Nothobranchius furzeri: one gene and its partners. The protein of the gene in region 1 interacts with the protein of each later gene in a pairwise test. Links are inferred from orthologs where the notes say so. Each region holds a gene or a part of one and is shown on either strand. Other genes may lie near its edges.

The links. The genes of interacting proteins can lie anywhere in the genome.
Region 2: the proteins of lipid droplet assembly factor 1 (region 1) and gad2 interact in binary tests that used the Homo sapiens proteins (3 or more experiments, as listed by UniProt). The two-hybrid records come from large-scale screens. The link is inferred for Nothobranchius furzeri from reciprocal best matches to the Homo sapiens genes LDAF1 and GAD2.
Region 3: the proteins of lipid droplet assembly factor 1 (region 1) and cacfd1 interact in binary tests that used the Homo sapiens proteins (3 or more experiments, as listed by UniProt). The two-hybrid records come from large-scale screens. The link is inferred for Nothobranchius furzeri from reciprocal best matches to the Homo sapiens genes LDAF1 and CACFD1.

What each region holds. Positions count from the first base shown.
Region 1 is NC_091752.1:57,003,724-57,008,999, forward strand, and holds lipid droplet assembly factor 1, read right to left. Parts: upstream 3,108-5,276; 5' UTR 2,986-3,107; intron 1,971-2,985; 5' UTR 1,961-1,970; coding exon 1,883-1,960; intron 1,782-1,882; coding exon 1,613-1,781; intron 1,504-1,612; coding exon 1,358-1,503; intron 1,284-1,357; coding exon 1,236-1,283; 3' UTR 777-1,235; downstream 1-776. UniProt on the Homo sapiens protein: Plays an important role in the formation of lipid droplets (LD) which are storage organelles at the center of lipid and energy homeostasis. In association with BSCL2/seipin, defines the sites of LD formation in the endoplasmic reticulum.
Region 2 is NC_091747.1:58,589,572-58,594,855, forward strand, and holds the start of gad2 (glutamate decarboxylase 2), read right to left. Parts: upstream 3,573-5,284; 5' UTR 2,900-3,572; coding exon 2,824-2,899; intron 2,658-2,823; coding exon 2,595-2,657; intron 2,475-2,594; coding exon 2,331-2,474; intron 1,940-2,330; coding exon 1,706-1,939; intron 945-1,705; coding exon 854-944; intron 85-853; coding exon 1-84. Other genes in the region: myo3a (myosin-IIIa), read right to left, coding at 4,629-4,743. UniProt on the Homo sapiens protein: Catalyzes the production of GABA.
Region 3 is NC_091746.1:61,747,794-61,752,866, reverse strand, and holds the start of cacfd1 (calcium channel flower homolog), read right to left. Parts: upstream 3,573-5,073; 5' UTR 3,180-3,572; coding exon 2,971-3,179; intron 2,929-2,970; exon of another isoform or gene 2,797-2,928; coding exon of another isoform or gene 2,780-2,796; intron 2,083-2,779; coding exon 1,952-2,082; intron 1,280-1,951; coding exon 1,207-1,279; intron 1-1,206. Other genes in the region: ptcd2 (pentatricopeptide repeat-containing protein 2, mitochondrial), read right to left, coding at 4,791-5,012. UniProt on the Homo sapiens protein: Transmembrane protein which mediates synaptic endocytosis and fitness-based cell culling.

The DNA of each region.
Region 1 (5,276 bases):
GTTTAAAAAAAAAAGGCTACGTGTGGACTTGGCCTCAAGCTTAACCCATAACCAATATTCCAGCACCATTTCACCCACTTTCACCTGAAGTGCCAACACAGGAGTCGAATGGAAAGCCCCGTTGCACAACCTCAAGGCCGCTGCCTGCACCACACCCAGTTGCCGCAAGGCTGAGGGGGTCACCGAACCGTACACTAAAACCCCGTAACCCAGGTATGATCAACTCACACCTCTGGGAACCATAAACAGGTTGCTCCTGTCGGCCCTCCAATCAGTCCCTGCCATGACATGAGCTGTAAGGTCTTATATAGACAGGTGTGGCTTTCCTAATCGAGTCCAATCAGTATAAACACAGCTGGACCTCGATGAAGGCGTAGGACCATCTCAAGGATGATCAGAAGAAATGGAAAGCACCTGAAATAAATATGAGTGTCACAGCAAAGGATCTGAATACTTGGGACCGTGTGATTCATTTTTAATTTTGTAAATCTTCATACATTTATAAAATTCTGTTTTTCTGTCAATATGGGGTACTGTGTGTACAATAGTGAGGAAAAACTACATTTAATTGATTTTAGCAAATGGCTGCAATGTAACAGTGAAAATTGATGAGTTTCCGAATAATTTCTGTACCCACTGTGTGTGGCTTACAAAATAAATAGTTTTAAATATAATAGCCACAGTTTTTATGTATACAAAGTTCCCTGGTTCCATTTAATTCTCTACATTACAACACATCAAACTGGTTTAAAAAATAAAAAAAAGGTGCAACTAAAAATGATTCAAAATCATGTTTATTCTTAAAAGCATCATTTCAAGCTGAAGAGTAGCGGTTTTCTCTTTAAAACGGGTAAAAAATACCTAAAATTTATTGGCCATGTAGAAATTTAGCTTTAAAAGTTGAAACACGATAAATAGCTAAACACTGGACCTATTTTACAGAAATCATTTCAATACAAACTCTTATAATATTAACTGGGTCAAAAGAAATCAGTTTTAAAAGCCCGTTTTTGATGAAACATCAAAATCCTGAAGTTATCTTGTTATAAATAATCCAAACATATTGCACGACATACAGATAAAATGTGATGAACCTAGATTGACACTGAAGATTGATTTTTAGCCTTTGTACGTAGAACAACTGTTCCGACAGCAGATCATCTCAGTCAAGTTGCCATGAAGCTGATCAGATCAGATCCTGGATCCCGATCATGTTAGAGGGAGGACGGAGCGATCTACTTCGCCTCCTTCGGTCCAGAAGTTTCACCCTCACTCTGTTTCTCCTGGTTCAGAGGAAGGAAATGATCAAAAGGTTTAAAATACAACTTGGTGAGTGCAGTCAGTGTGTGTGGACTACCGTAGACGGTTGTGAGTAATATTGCTTCAGCAGGTTGGGGATGCTGACGAACAGAGCATTAACGATGACTGAAACCAGCAGAGAGAAGAGAGCGATGCCAGCGAGCACGGACAGCAGAGTCAGCCCTCCAATGAAAAACAGGAACACTAAAAAAATAAAATAAATAAAAAATTAACTGAGAAATAAGTTAAAAAACAAACAAACAAAAGAAAAAACACTCAATCCAGGAGCGGTGTCCAACCAGAAAGTACCAACCTTCAAAGAAAACGAATCCTACAGCTGAGATAACAAAGGTTGTGAGGGCAAACATGAGGAAGATTCCCACAGGCAGAACAGCCATGGCGCTGAAGAGCAGCAGTGTGAAAGCCAAGAAAGGTCTTCTGCAGATGTACAGTCCGATCCTTGTGTTCAGCAGCTGTGCAACCTGTTAAAGACACAACACAGCTGGTCAGAAAGGGATGCAACCAAAGGAAAAGTCAAGATACATAAATAACAAAATAAAACAGGTGAAAGGAGTTGGGATACCTTTGGATCTCCTTGAAGGCGGCTCAGAAGAGAAAGCCATCTTTCCCACAGCTGCTGAATTAACCTGCTGTACCTCATCTCAACACAACTGGATTAGAAGACAAGGAAAGAGACAGATTATAAACCAACCCTGAGACAGAGGATCAGCAGCAGGTACCAGCACAGGATTCAAACACTTAGCACAAATCTCTCCCCAGGACTTCTAAATAATTATAACTCATCAGCCAAGATTGGAATATCAACACAGACTTTGGGTTTTTATTGTGTCCTTATTGTGTTTACTGTATTCTATCAGTTTAGATTAAACACACATGTCTGATCACAATATTAACTGGAATTGTATTATTTATTTGACTTACAAAATAAGCTATTCAACAATAACTGACACATTTTTACATCTTTGGTTTGAGATTAAATCCCAACATAATAGTCTACTGAATCAGGTGGTTTTTCTAAATCTGGGGTCTACAAGCTCTGGTTCAAGGGCCATTCAGGTTCTCTGTCCGCCAGCAGTAGCTCTGACAAATTAATTATATCTACCTTTACAACAAGCTTCATAATGAATTAATACAACATTTGATTAATTCAACTTCTGCTCGCCATAAAGTAAAAATGTAACAGACTTAAGGTATGAAAGAAAGACGTAAAAAAAAATTAAAAAATAAAAAAAACTTCAGAACGTGACAAAAACACAATAAAAATAATTCTTAAAATAAATTACGGCCTTTTAAAAATGTCAAAATATACAATTTTGCAAATGTAATTTCTATGGTAACCCATAATTTAGTGTATGAGTGTAATTTTTATTTAGTTTCTAAAGTTGGGCTGAGTTTATGGGAGTCATCGCTAAAACTGAAAAGATGCGAGCTGAAAGCCCACAGGCTTTTATCTTTTTGGTGTTTCTTTCTTTTAAGAATGGCGGCCAAAACAATCCTTTTCAACAAGACGTGATGAAACGTAACAAACGTAAAACACAAACCCTGGTGGAGGAGAGCCGTGCTCGCGCGCACGTCTCCAGAGAAAGCCAGAACGCTTTTAGGCTCACACCCTCGGCTCACACCTGAACTTTACATATCTAAAGACAGAGGAGGTTTAATACTTACCCTAAAAAAGTGAAAACCTCGTTCGTTTGTCAGCAAAGATCATAAGTCAACGAAACGACCGTCTCTTATACACCATACTGATGAACACACCCATAAAACACACCTCCTTTTTCTGGTCTTCCTCCCCTGGAGTCTGGAGAGACTCTGGTTTGAGGCTTTGCTGCTGCCGCCTTGTGTTTATCTCGGGTATTGCATCCCAGAGTTCACCGAGGATTAAATAATCTTTTGGTCAAAAAAGGACAAAGCCAAGGTAGACGTACAAAATAATAATCTTTAAACTCAACATAAATTAATGCTTTTTAAATGAGTGATCAAGAAGTTTTCAGAAAAGTTGAAAATACTGCTAAATTGTACTAAAATCATAAATTTCATAGTCATAAGAAAGAGCCACTGGATAAATCAAACCACAATTTGTGAAATGTGCCTTCAACAAATATTTCAGCACTTCATTTAAACAAAAGTTGTTTTGCACATCACCAAAGCCTTTGATAAAAAATATATGAAATTGATAATTATGTTTCTTCAAACGTGATAGTATTTATGTACCAAGTCTGGTTTGATTTTTAGTAATACAAACATAAAAATCTGTTGTGGAACATGATGCAGCTGGTGCATTTATCCAGCTAAGGATTTTTGTTCATGCATTAGGTTCAAATTTAATCTAAATGGTGAAATGGTAAATGGCCTGTATTTGATATAGCGCCTTCTAGAGTCCTGGAACCCTCCAAGGTGCTTTACAACACAATCAGTCATTCACCCATTCACACACACATTCACACACTGGTGGTGATGAGCTACGATGTAGCCACAGCTGCCCTGGGGCGCACTGACAGAGGTGAGGCTGCCGAGCACTGGCGCCACCGGTCCCTCCGACCTAAAATGTGTATGCATCTGTTTTACATCAGAACTTCTCCCTGTTATATTTACACCCTGCATGTTTGGAGGGAATTTTGTTAAAAGTGATTTGGAGCTGAAACATCTCCTTTAAACGCTTTTTTGTTAACTGAGCTGAGGTTTTCTGTAGTTTTCCTCCTGCAAAACTGAATTAAGACGGAAAATGTCACCTAAAACATTTTTATAACTTTGAAAAAAATACACAAGAAAATACATGCAACCTTTCCCTACCAAAGAATATATTTATAAGATAAATCAAAGAAAAAAAGTAAATTCGTAATTTTTTCACTATAATCACCAAATTTTAATATTTCTTTACTACCTGACCTTAAAGGCAGAGGCTGGTCCAGGTACGACTGAACTACACTCACTGGCCACTTTATTGGGTACACCTCTCCATATGGTCGATAACATGAATGACTAATCAGCCAATCACATGCATGGTGGCAACTCAATACATTTAGGCATGCAGATATGGATGTCTAAAGATGACCCGCTGAAGTTCACCAACTTCAGAATGGGGAAGAAAGGTGATTTACTTTGAACATGGCATGGTTGTTGGCACCAGAGGGGCTGGTCCAAAAATGGGGAAACATCCAGTGAGCGGCTGTTCTGTAGGTGAAAATGTCTTATTGATATCAGAGGTCAGGGGAGAATGGCCAGACTGGTTCGACCTCATACAAAGGCAACAGAAACTCAAATAACCACTCATTACAACCAAGGTATGCAGAAGAGCAGCAGAAGACCACACCCGGTCCCACTCCAGCTACGAACAGGAAAATGTGGCTACAATTCACTCAGGCTCACCAAATTGGACAATCCCTAGAGGGCTAAGCCCAACCAGCCATTCCTCCCCATCCCCGCATATTTTTCTCCTCCTGCTCCCTCACATCATCACACAAACATGCACATAGGACCTTGGGGTGTGAACAAGTCAGTGAGTGCGGGTATGGACCCCATTTCTGCATTCCTGTGGCAACCTGTCCCCCAATTTTATCTGCACCTTAAACACTTCCACTAACAACATTCCACACAAACACACACTTAGGGCCTTGGGAGTGAGCACATCCAACGGCATTTGGCAGGGGGATTTCTCAGCCTCATCCCAAGTGCCGGTGCCCACTTCCAATTTTAAACTGCACTTAGACACCGAGGGCTGTGGGTGCAAGTGGGGTGGTGTGGTGGCATCAGCTGGCATAGGCCAGACGATGCCCGCACTGCCCGCTCACCACAGCCATGGAATACACCTCATCAACACTCACTAACACCATATTGGAACAGGCGGAGGGAGACTAGGGGTCTTAGCACATCTCTGTTGTTGCTTGGCTTCCTGAGGCTGGAGGCTAGGAGGGAGATCTGGCCGTCTGGTTGAGGTCTGGTGTGCTGGATTGCTGTGC
Region 2 (5,284 bases), on another chromosome or scaffold:
TCAGGCCAGCCAATGATCTCCCTCATCTTTTTCAGGGTGACGTATTCCAGCAGCACGAAAACAGGAGCCACCTCATAAGTGAACCTGGAAGATGCATAATGAAGTTATGACTGAAAAAGCTGGTTTACAGTTTTCAGCAGCAGCTTTTGGACGTTAAAACGCTTGAAAAGTCTGAATGAGCCAGAGTGGGCTCAGAGGGTATGAACTCTCTGAGATGTTTCGTCTTTTAACCCTAAAATTAGAGAAAAATGCAATAAAACATTTGTATCTTCTATTCATTTGGGTGCAAAACACCAATGCATTAAATAATGATGAAGTAATTTCAATTGTCCATCCATCCATCATCCATTTTCTGAACCCGTGTAAATTGTTTACACTTTTATTCAAATATCTCCAGATTTTAAAGAATTTTTAAATGCATTAGTATTTTTTACATTATTCTGTAACTAAAACCACTCATGTAGGGAAATGATTGCTGCACATATTTAATTTCAGAAATCTTCCATAAAAAGCCCATTTTTCCATACATATTTATATTTTTACCACTCATTGGTCTTAGCCGCCTCTCTTCCAGCAGCCGTGAGTTTATCACCCTGAAAACACGCACTTAAAATTAGCTCCTGATTAGACTGAATGCAATTTCAGAGGTAATTTTCCTCCCCTTTGAATCCCAGTGGGGATCAGATGTGAAGGGGTGGGGGTGGGAGTAGTGCATTGTGGTTATCTAGGGAAAATAAAAAGCTGCTATCAGCCCAAACAGACGCGGACTGGGTGCACCGGAAATGGGATCCATTGTCATGGTTTTTAAATCAGCTGTGAGGATCCTGCTGAAGCAGCAGGGCCACGTACTCACATGTTGGTGTTGGCAGTGGATGTCAGCCAATCAGCTGCCAGTCCAACCATGTCTAATCCTGTGGAGAGCTGATTGAAGTACCTGGGGTGGGCTGAACGGGAGGAGAGATAGAAGAGGAGAAAAGAGGAGGAGGAGAAGACGAGGAAACTGTAATTTCAAGGCTTTATCAAGAAAAGGAGCAGAGCTGTCATTTTCCAAACGCTTTAATTAGAGTGCAGAAATGCAGCTGCAGCGACGCTTTGGTGAAAACATGTGAGGGTGAGTATTAAAGCACGCAAGAACTGCACCGATGATTTTAAAGAGGAATAAAAATTCACAGCATAAAGGAAATCTAATATAATAAAGCTGCATTTATAACGAAATTAATAAAATAGTTGCATTTTTTATAGAAGAGCTTGACATGTTTCCGTTGCTGTAAATTTCCTTCTGCATGTGTCACTCAGTGAGAATAATGGACTTGGCCTGTGCAGCCGGATTATTAGCCTATTATCTGCCGCCTGCTGAAGCTGATTTACTGCGCCACTGCGTTTATCGGTCTGGTGGCCATGCAGAAGGAAGGACGGCTTCCATGTTGATGCTCTTTTATCATTATGTTTTATTAATCCAATATAAATTACTGCGCATTTGAAATAGTTGCATGATTGTTGCGAAAAAACCATCTCAAAATTACATCAAAACAAAAACAAACAAAAAAGATGTCATGCTTTTATTTAAAATTTACTTTTCAGTTGCAAAATTATTGATTATGTCAAAAATACATGCAGCAGGCCTTCATTTGAACAATGCACCAGTGGGCTTTGCACCAATCAATTTGCGCATCTTTAGACGTGCATTTGAGAAAGCTGCACCTACCAGTTTTGATGGCGTATTTGAGAGTGGCGCGGCAGCTGATCAAGATGTCATCCAGGGTGGCGGGCTCGTCCTGCAGCTCCCAGTTGTTCAGCTGCAGCAGCTCGTTTGGATAGTGAAAATCAATGACTTTCGTTTCCCGGTCGAAAGATTCAACTATGTACGCGAGAAGAAGGTCCACCACCTCCTGCAGGAAGGTCATCGTTTTGGTGTCACCGTCCAAGGCAGGTAACAGGTCTGGAAGAGGTGGGGGTGTCGTTTAAGGATGCAAAACAAATGTGTTTATTACTATTAATGGTTTTGTTTTCGTTTGTGTTGGAGAACCAAAATGCAGCTGAGTACTATTTGAGCTCATCAGATTCAAGGTGAAGGTGACCTCCAAGAGGAAATGATCACACTAAAAACAGAATGTAATTATTTGTTATACCACCACATATTCAGCTTGATTTCCTTGTAGAGCTTTAGGCCTGCAGGTACTTTTTTCTTTTACAAATAACCCAAATATTCACCTTTTAGCTTAGATAATAAAATACAACAGAGTATTTCTGTTTTAGACGAATCAGTAGCAAAATAGCATATTTTATTTTATTTTATTGCATAAAAACACACCGGAATCCGGTTTCTGTACCTGTTGAATAGAGGTCTGAGAAGACCACGTCGGGTTTGGTGCAGGTGCAAGGTTTGTTGCAGCCGCAGCTTCCTGCAGCAGTCTGCGGCGGCTGTTTGGCGGCCGGGTCGGCGGTTTTTTCCACCTCCCCGACGTTCAGCAGCGCTTTGGAGAAACACAAACCCTCCGCATTTTAAATAAATATAAAACAATAACTCAGAATGTGTATATGTGAATAAAATCATTCAATGAAACAGCGAAACGCTCCCATAATCAGTCTCATACCACATAATTTAGATCCAATTCCTCCGGATAATTTCTGGGCCGCCGCTTGGCACCAAGCCCTGGCTGCGAGGCAGACAGAAATAAGTCATGTACTTCTAGTTATTGGTCCAACTTAATGGTAAAAACATAGTAAAAACGCTGGAGCGCAAATAAAACAAGATAATAAAATCAGCACCATGCAGGCCTGTCTGGATTTGGAGACAATAAAAAGAGAAAAGAGGACACTCACGCGTGCTGGGGCTCTGACTGCCGGTGTTGGTCCCCGCGTTATCCCCGCCGAGAGACCAGAACCCGTGTGAAGCCATCGCGGCTGGTAGTTAGGAGATGCGGGAGACACCGGAGACCGACAGAGCCCATTCAAACGCGCCGAGCGGGGAGCTGTTCGAAGCCGACGTGGTGCTGAACGTGACCGGACCTCGCTCCAGAATGTGGCACATCCGACACGCGCTTCAGCAAATAAACCCGAGTGGAAAAAACCCAAAGGCGTCCTCGGTGCTCCTTCTGCGGGCATCCACAGGTGCGCGGTGCATGAAGCTGCGTGTGCGCACAAAGAAATCCGCGAAAAAAAAGGACCCAAACAATCAGCGCACTCTTCAGAGCGCGCTGCACTTTTCTCCACTCAGCAGACACGCAATGAAAAATAAATAAATAAAAAAACTAGCGCTGATGAAGTTAATTATGAAGAGGTGATCACATTTAACTCAAAAACAGTTTGATGTGAACAGCAGCTACATATGCAGCGCGCGTGTCGGGCCTGGGAATTTCACGTCAGCAGAAGAAATTCCATCGTGATTCACTTCAGGGTCATGACGTCGCGTCGTGCGTCGTGACTCCAAACACCCCCAACATTTTGTCCCTTGCGCGCTCCACGTCCTGCCTTCCATAGACCTTCCATAGACACCGAATGCCAACTAGCTCATCTGCGGACCTTATTTCTGGGTTTACCGGCTGCTTTAATTGCCCGCCTCCGGGGATGCTGGGTGTGTGTGTGTGTGTGTGTGTGTGTGTGTGTGTGTGTGTGTGTGAGGGGGTGTTCGGGCCCCTCCTCCTCTGCTGGTGCGCGCATTGCTCCAAAAACACCGATTTTCAGGTTTTATTCTGGATGACTGGCCTGAAATGTATTTGAAAAGCAAACTAAAGTTTAATGTTTTATTATTTAAAATGAATCAACACAATCCAAGATGGCTGCTATGGTCAACTGGCGTGCAAACGCTGAATTAACCCAATAAGGTTCAACTGATTTTGCAGAAATTACTTTAGATCTGACAGTAACTGTCAGCAACGTAACGTCATCTGGTTCGCCAAAAATAAACCCTTTGGCCAGTAGCTGCAGAACAACGTCTATTTTATTATCAATGAATTTTCTTTCCAATTTATTTCCTCTGCAGTTTTTAAATTCAGCATCTGGAGCTCATCTATGGTCGTGTTTGTGTTCAACGTGCACCAAAGGGTTTACCACTGACAACCCCTGTGGGGGTGTTCCTCTTTTTAAAATGTCACATAAAGGTCAGAGGTTGAACCTGAAGAGAAATCACTAGAGCTTGCATTGGATGAACATTATTATTATTATTATTATTATTATTATTATTATTATTATTATTATTATTAATAAATAAATCAACATAAATTCAGCTCTGTTGGGATTGTGATTATTGTATGATGGGTGGTAAAAATATTGATTATTTTACCATAAATTCAACATATTTGGGAAAAAATGGGAATACAACATAATTTATTTATATTTAAATTTACAAATCAGATGTTACAATGAGGATAAAGATGTCTGACATCCAAAACTGATTTAAAAAAGAAAAAGAAAATGTATTAAAATGCAAAGAATTCAAGTATGACAGCATTGTCTGTAATTGTTTATGACCGAAGGGGGAAAAAATGACAGATTTAATGAATGAGCTACAGTATGAATGAATAATTGAATTATTTACAATCTCCAAACTCAGCTATGATCAGTGATTTAACAGTTTCAGTTATACATTTGTGCTGTTGCATAAGCAACCATGTGATGGACATGCTTCTTCAGTAGTGTTTGATGAGCCTTCGTCTCTGAGAGGTCTTCCTCAGCAGATGCCTGAAGTCGTAAGGATTGTCACCACTTCGGCTTTCCATGGAGGACATTCTTGGAACGGAACGCCTGCTGGAGAATCAGAGGAGACAGTTGGGAATTCACCTCTAACACAGATGCAGACTAATAGTGCGATATTTACGGATGTAGAGACTTGGAATTGTGAGACAATACCTAAATCTTTAAAACCAATGACAAAAATGTTTTCTCTTTATTCCGACCCCCCAAGGTGCTTTACAACACAATCAGTCACACCTTGGTGGTGATGAGCTACATTGTAGCCACAGCTACCCTCAGGCACACTGAGAGAGGCGGGTCTGCCGCTCACAGATGCCACCAGTCCCTCCAAACACCACCAGCAGGCAAGGTGAGTTAAGTGTCTTGCCCAAGGACACAACGACAGTGACAGACTGAGCTCGAATCTGCAACTTTCAGATTACGTGCCACCGTTGCCCCAAGATGGCTTCTTTTAAATGGTAAATTGCCTGTATTTGATATAGCGCCTTCTAGAGTCCTGGAACCCCCCAAGCCGCTTTACAACACAATCAGTCATTCACACATTCACACACTGGTGGTGATAAGCTACGATGTAGCCACAGCTGCCCTGGGG
Region 3 (5,073 bases), on another chromosome or scaffold:
CCTATACACTGGCACTACTGGTTACTGTTGCGGGTGGTGGTCTTTACGTGTGTTTAAAAGAATTGCAGCTTGTGTTTATTTCCGATGATGTTTATTATTTCGTCTTGTTCCAAAATGTCCATGATCCATTTACAGCAGTTAAAGTGGTTTTCAGTGAATGCGTTACTTGCCCCAATGACAGTCCGCAGAGTCCGTTACACACAGCCACAGTCTTCGCCACACAGTAAGAAACTGTTTGTCCCATCACAGCAACCCCTGAGTCTAATCAGTGTCTGCTTAAGTAGGCGGTGCTTCGATAATCAATTGACCAATCAAATGAGGCCAAGCCTCCTCTCAGGTATGCAGAAAGAAAATGACACATATGGCTCCTACACGCCAGCCCCTAATTGCGCATAGCAGAAGACATAGCAATTACAATAACTTAAATTACAGGAGCCATTATAAAAAAAAAAAAAAAAAAAACAATACACAATAAAATACACACAAACCAAAAGACCCGTAATACCTTTTGAACCTAAGTTTCCCCTTCACACACTAAACATTGCTTAGTTATTGGTCTCTCGATAATGTTAGTCTTGGTTTGAAGGCGAACTACTCGAACCAAGCCCTTCTTGTCAGGAAACATTTTAAGGGCTTTCCCTAACACCCATGATCCTCTAGGAGTGGTGTAGTCCATAACCACTACTATGTCTCCCACTTCTAACCCTTTTTTCCTGCATTGGTAGCAAGTACTCCCTGATCCATCCTTTTTTCTTTTTTTTCCTCCTTGTTTTTCTTCTTTTCTTTTTTATCTTTTCTCTAACAGGTTTCAACGGGGCTACTCTAGCCTTGCCAAATAGAAATGAAACATGCATCTCTTCCTTGTCGTTTCTGAGTCTGAGGTAAGTAGCTGTACCGTACCCACTTTCGCTTGCATCAGAGAAGTGATGCATTTGTGCGCCGATTACCTTTCCGAACCCTTCTGGCTTAAGGCATCTGCCGATTTGGAAATCTGTTAAATTTTCCAAATCTCTCAACCATTTCTCCCATTCCTTCTGGAAAGCATCAGGTACAGAATCATCCCAACTACAGTTCAGTCTACACAGTTCCTGCAAGAGTGACTTGTAGGCATATAATTAATATACTACATTAAATTCTCTATTATGTTTTTGTGAAACATGATTAAGAAGATTTAAACAGTAAAGTGAGACAGATGTAAGTACTTACACCATCCAAACTCCGGCAGCAATGTTTAAAGGGTTCACGGTGACACAGTTCCACACCCCTGAGATGGCACAGGCTGCGTGTTCAGCACAAAACAAGGAACAATTGGTAAAACCAAAGCAGCGTTTCCCACCCAATACCAACTGTGTCATTTAGAATAAATGAATCAGTATACCCGAACCCTAACAGTATGTAGATAAAATACAACCACTACCCAGTTGTAGCCTTGTCACACTGTGCAGCTAAAAGGGAGTCATCTATCTAAACACAAAAGAAAAAAGATCTTTATTGTGTTTATGGATCTGACATCAGCTTAAACATGACATGAGCAGTCCTCTATTATCCCTCACACAGCAGATCCTGCTCCTTTAAACCATACAGCCTCCTCAATAATACAGGAGCCATTGAATATGCAGTGGTTAATGTGATACAGGGACTCTGGTGTCACTGAGCTGCAATGCTGCTGGAAAGGCTGCAGCTCAAGCATTTAATCACATCTATCTCACTCTCAGACGGAGCTGGCTGTTTTCTCAGACGGTTGAGTTCATGATCACTTTATTTAAGAATAAACAGCTAATGATGAGTAAGCAAGCCCACAGAGGCTGCTGCAGTCAGATCAGTCTGCTCTCAGCCTCACAATTAACGTAAAGTCGAGAGAAAATGACAAAGATTTCTCACACGTGTCAGAAAATAATTAAACTACGTGTAGCTAAAGGTTTGGCTTGTGTGGGATTGCTCATCTACTTACATATTCCTCCCAAAACGCCGGCTATCTTGCAGAGCCATCTATACCACCAAGTCATGCCATCATCTTCAGGAGTAGCGGCTTTGTTGGGGGCTGCTGTCTCTTCGGTGCTCATTGTGTTGCGTTTCCTAAAGCTACACAAAACCCAATTTCACAAATACCCGTTTTTCTTCAGTCTACTTTCTTCCTCCCTTTGTTTTCGTGTCTGATGCCGGGTGTCACCAGCAGCTTCTCCCGTCACTGGCGACTAGCTAAGCGGCTAGCTGATGGTCAGAAGCATCGCCACCAGCTGCCGCTAGGAGTGGATATCACGTATCCTCGACTCTCATTCGGTCTCTTAAACTGAAATAAAGAACTTTAGTGCGCTTCCTAACTATTTCAACAAGTTAACACAAGTCTGGTCCGGTAGAAATGAGCGGTTTAGTTGTTCTTCAGGGACGTAGCTCTGCTCTGCCCGACGGGCGCGGTGCATTGTGGGAGGCACTTGATGTGCGTCATATTTGTTTACATGAATGCTGTAAAGTATGTTTAACCCTTAACCCTCCCACTGTCCTGATGATGGGTGTGCTCAGTGGTCAACTTTCCTCGCGGGGTCACCCATAAAGACAGTGGGAGGGTTAAAGGAATGGGGTGATCTTTTGTTTTCTTAGATAAGAGAATGGGATGAAAACTTCCCAATATTGATAGATTTTGTGAACAATTGTTAGTCTCTAACAACAAATCAGATTTATTTTTACAAAGGAATTGTGTGTAAAAAAATCACAGATGAACACGTGCGTGTGTGTGTATTTGTCTATGTATCAAAGTGAGGACCAATGACAAGCTTTTTACCTGCAAACTGAGGACATTTTCCCTGGCTATCACTTTGGTTAGTGTTACATAGCTTTATTCATCAGTTTCAGGTATGGTGTGAATTAAGGCCTAGTCCACACGTAGCCGGGTTTTTTTAAAAACGAATATCCGCCCCTCCAAAAACTTGCATCCACACCACCGCGTTTTAAAAACAAACTGTCCACACGTACCCAGATAAATACGTTAAGGACATGCCAGACCTGTAGGCGGCAGTACTTCCCCCGTTCTTAACCTCATCCTTCGTCTGTGGTCTTCCGCAAGGAGCAGTAATTCCGCTTGCAAAAACAAACAAGCAGAAAGCGCTTGGACAATTGATGGATCGGGTAGTGACAGAGCGCAGCTCTGAAGGCTTCCGTGATGCCGGATAGTGTAAACACATGTCGCACACGTGATGTCAGCATTTTTGTGTCGCGGAAAGTGACGTTGCGGACCTTAAAACTCCGGTTTTGTGTCTGTCCACACGCAGACACCCAAAACGGAGAAAACGCAGATCTTCACTTTGGCCGGAGTTTTTAAAAAGATCCGTTTTCGTGTGAAAAAACTCAGTTTTCGTGTGGATGACAGGCCAAAACGTAGGAAAATATCTACGTTTTGGCAGATCCCCGGCTACGTGTGGACAGGGCCTAAGTTTAAGTTAAGGTTAGGGTTAGGAATAGACTGGGTATGGTTAGGCACAATCCAGTCAGTAGAATGAATGGACGACGGTCCTCACAACAAATACAAGACAAGTGTGTGTGTGTGTGTGTGTGTAATCATCACACAACTAAATGTAAAATGAAATTTAGTTAAACTGGGAATAATATCTTGAAATTTAGAAATAAAAGCAACTTATATTTCAAAAGGAAAGAAATATACTTAAATAGCATCCACAGTATGGGGTTGGATATATGCATAAAAAAGATGTGGTCAAAATGCTCACTTGTTTAGAAACTGTACACAAAGCACAATGCTATACCGGTAATTATAAAACCACATTCATAATATTCTTAAAAGTTAAATAACAGCTATTTGTATTAAAGGATATCTACCCACTGCCCAACATACCTCATACAGGACTTTCAGAAATCACTGAGTTATGTGTTTCAGAATGAGAAATAGAAAAATATCCAAAATAAAATATTTACTTGGTTGTTTAAGGTGCACCTATAAACTTAATGTCCTCCAGATAGCTGCATTAAACATTTGTGCAACAAAAGAAAGTGAATTAAATGTGGAAGATAAAAAAATAAGGTTTAAGATTTGAAAACATCAAAAAACCTAAACTTGGACTCAATTTCATTAATTTTTGTATAAATAAATATCCCTCTTCTCTCTTTGAAAAACTAAATAGATCTTTAAGATAATGACTTCAAATTGAGTGCACAACATGAAATAAACAAAAGCATTCCTTTATTCTTTTTCTTTTGTTTTTATTACTAAACCTTTCATACGTCGTCTCACACATCTCTCATTTACACTCCCAGAGTCTGTTCAAACACAGTTTCAGAAAAGGACTCCTGACATTTATCAGCAAGCACATCTAACATGATGTTTCTCTTCTTCCAGGGACCATTTTTAGTTGTGTCAGGAAAGCCACGAGTCCAAAGACATGCCTGCAGACTGTGGGTGTTCAGGTTGATAATGTATCTGCAGATTACCAACACCACTCAAGACTATATGCTACCTTAGATTTACATATGCAATTTAAATAAAGTACCTGCCAACAACTTTAAATGACACAAGTGTGAACTTAGTCAGATTTCTTTAAGGGCAGCTTAGATATAAGTTAGTTACAGCTGATACTCTGTTGTAAAGGGTGTGGAAGTTTTATCATGTAGAAGGAAAATAAAATGGTCATTCTAGTGCGTTTTTCTCCTCTACATCTTTGTGCTTGCTTCAGAAGTGAATCTAGAACACTGATAATAGAAATGAGGCAACAAGAAGAGCCCTGACGGTCCGTATCAGCTCACGATGAACATACAGGTCGGCCGATTCTGACTTGGTCCAGGACTCACTCTGATAACAAAGTGAACTGAAGAGGTCTCAGAGTCCTTCGGCTTTTCCTGCTCACCTCCTCCAACAGCGCCGGTTTCCTCTTCCCAGTGGGGGCATGACACAGCATCTCATCAAGGGTTTGCTGAGTCACTTGACCGCCTCTTTCCAGCTGAGTTACGATCTCGTCTACTTTCCCTTTAATTGGCCTGCCGTCGCTCCGCAAACGAAGCAAATCCACCTGAAGCAGCGATGAGAAGTCACGGAGTCGATTATCATTTTGTTCTGAATGATTATGAAAC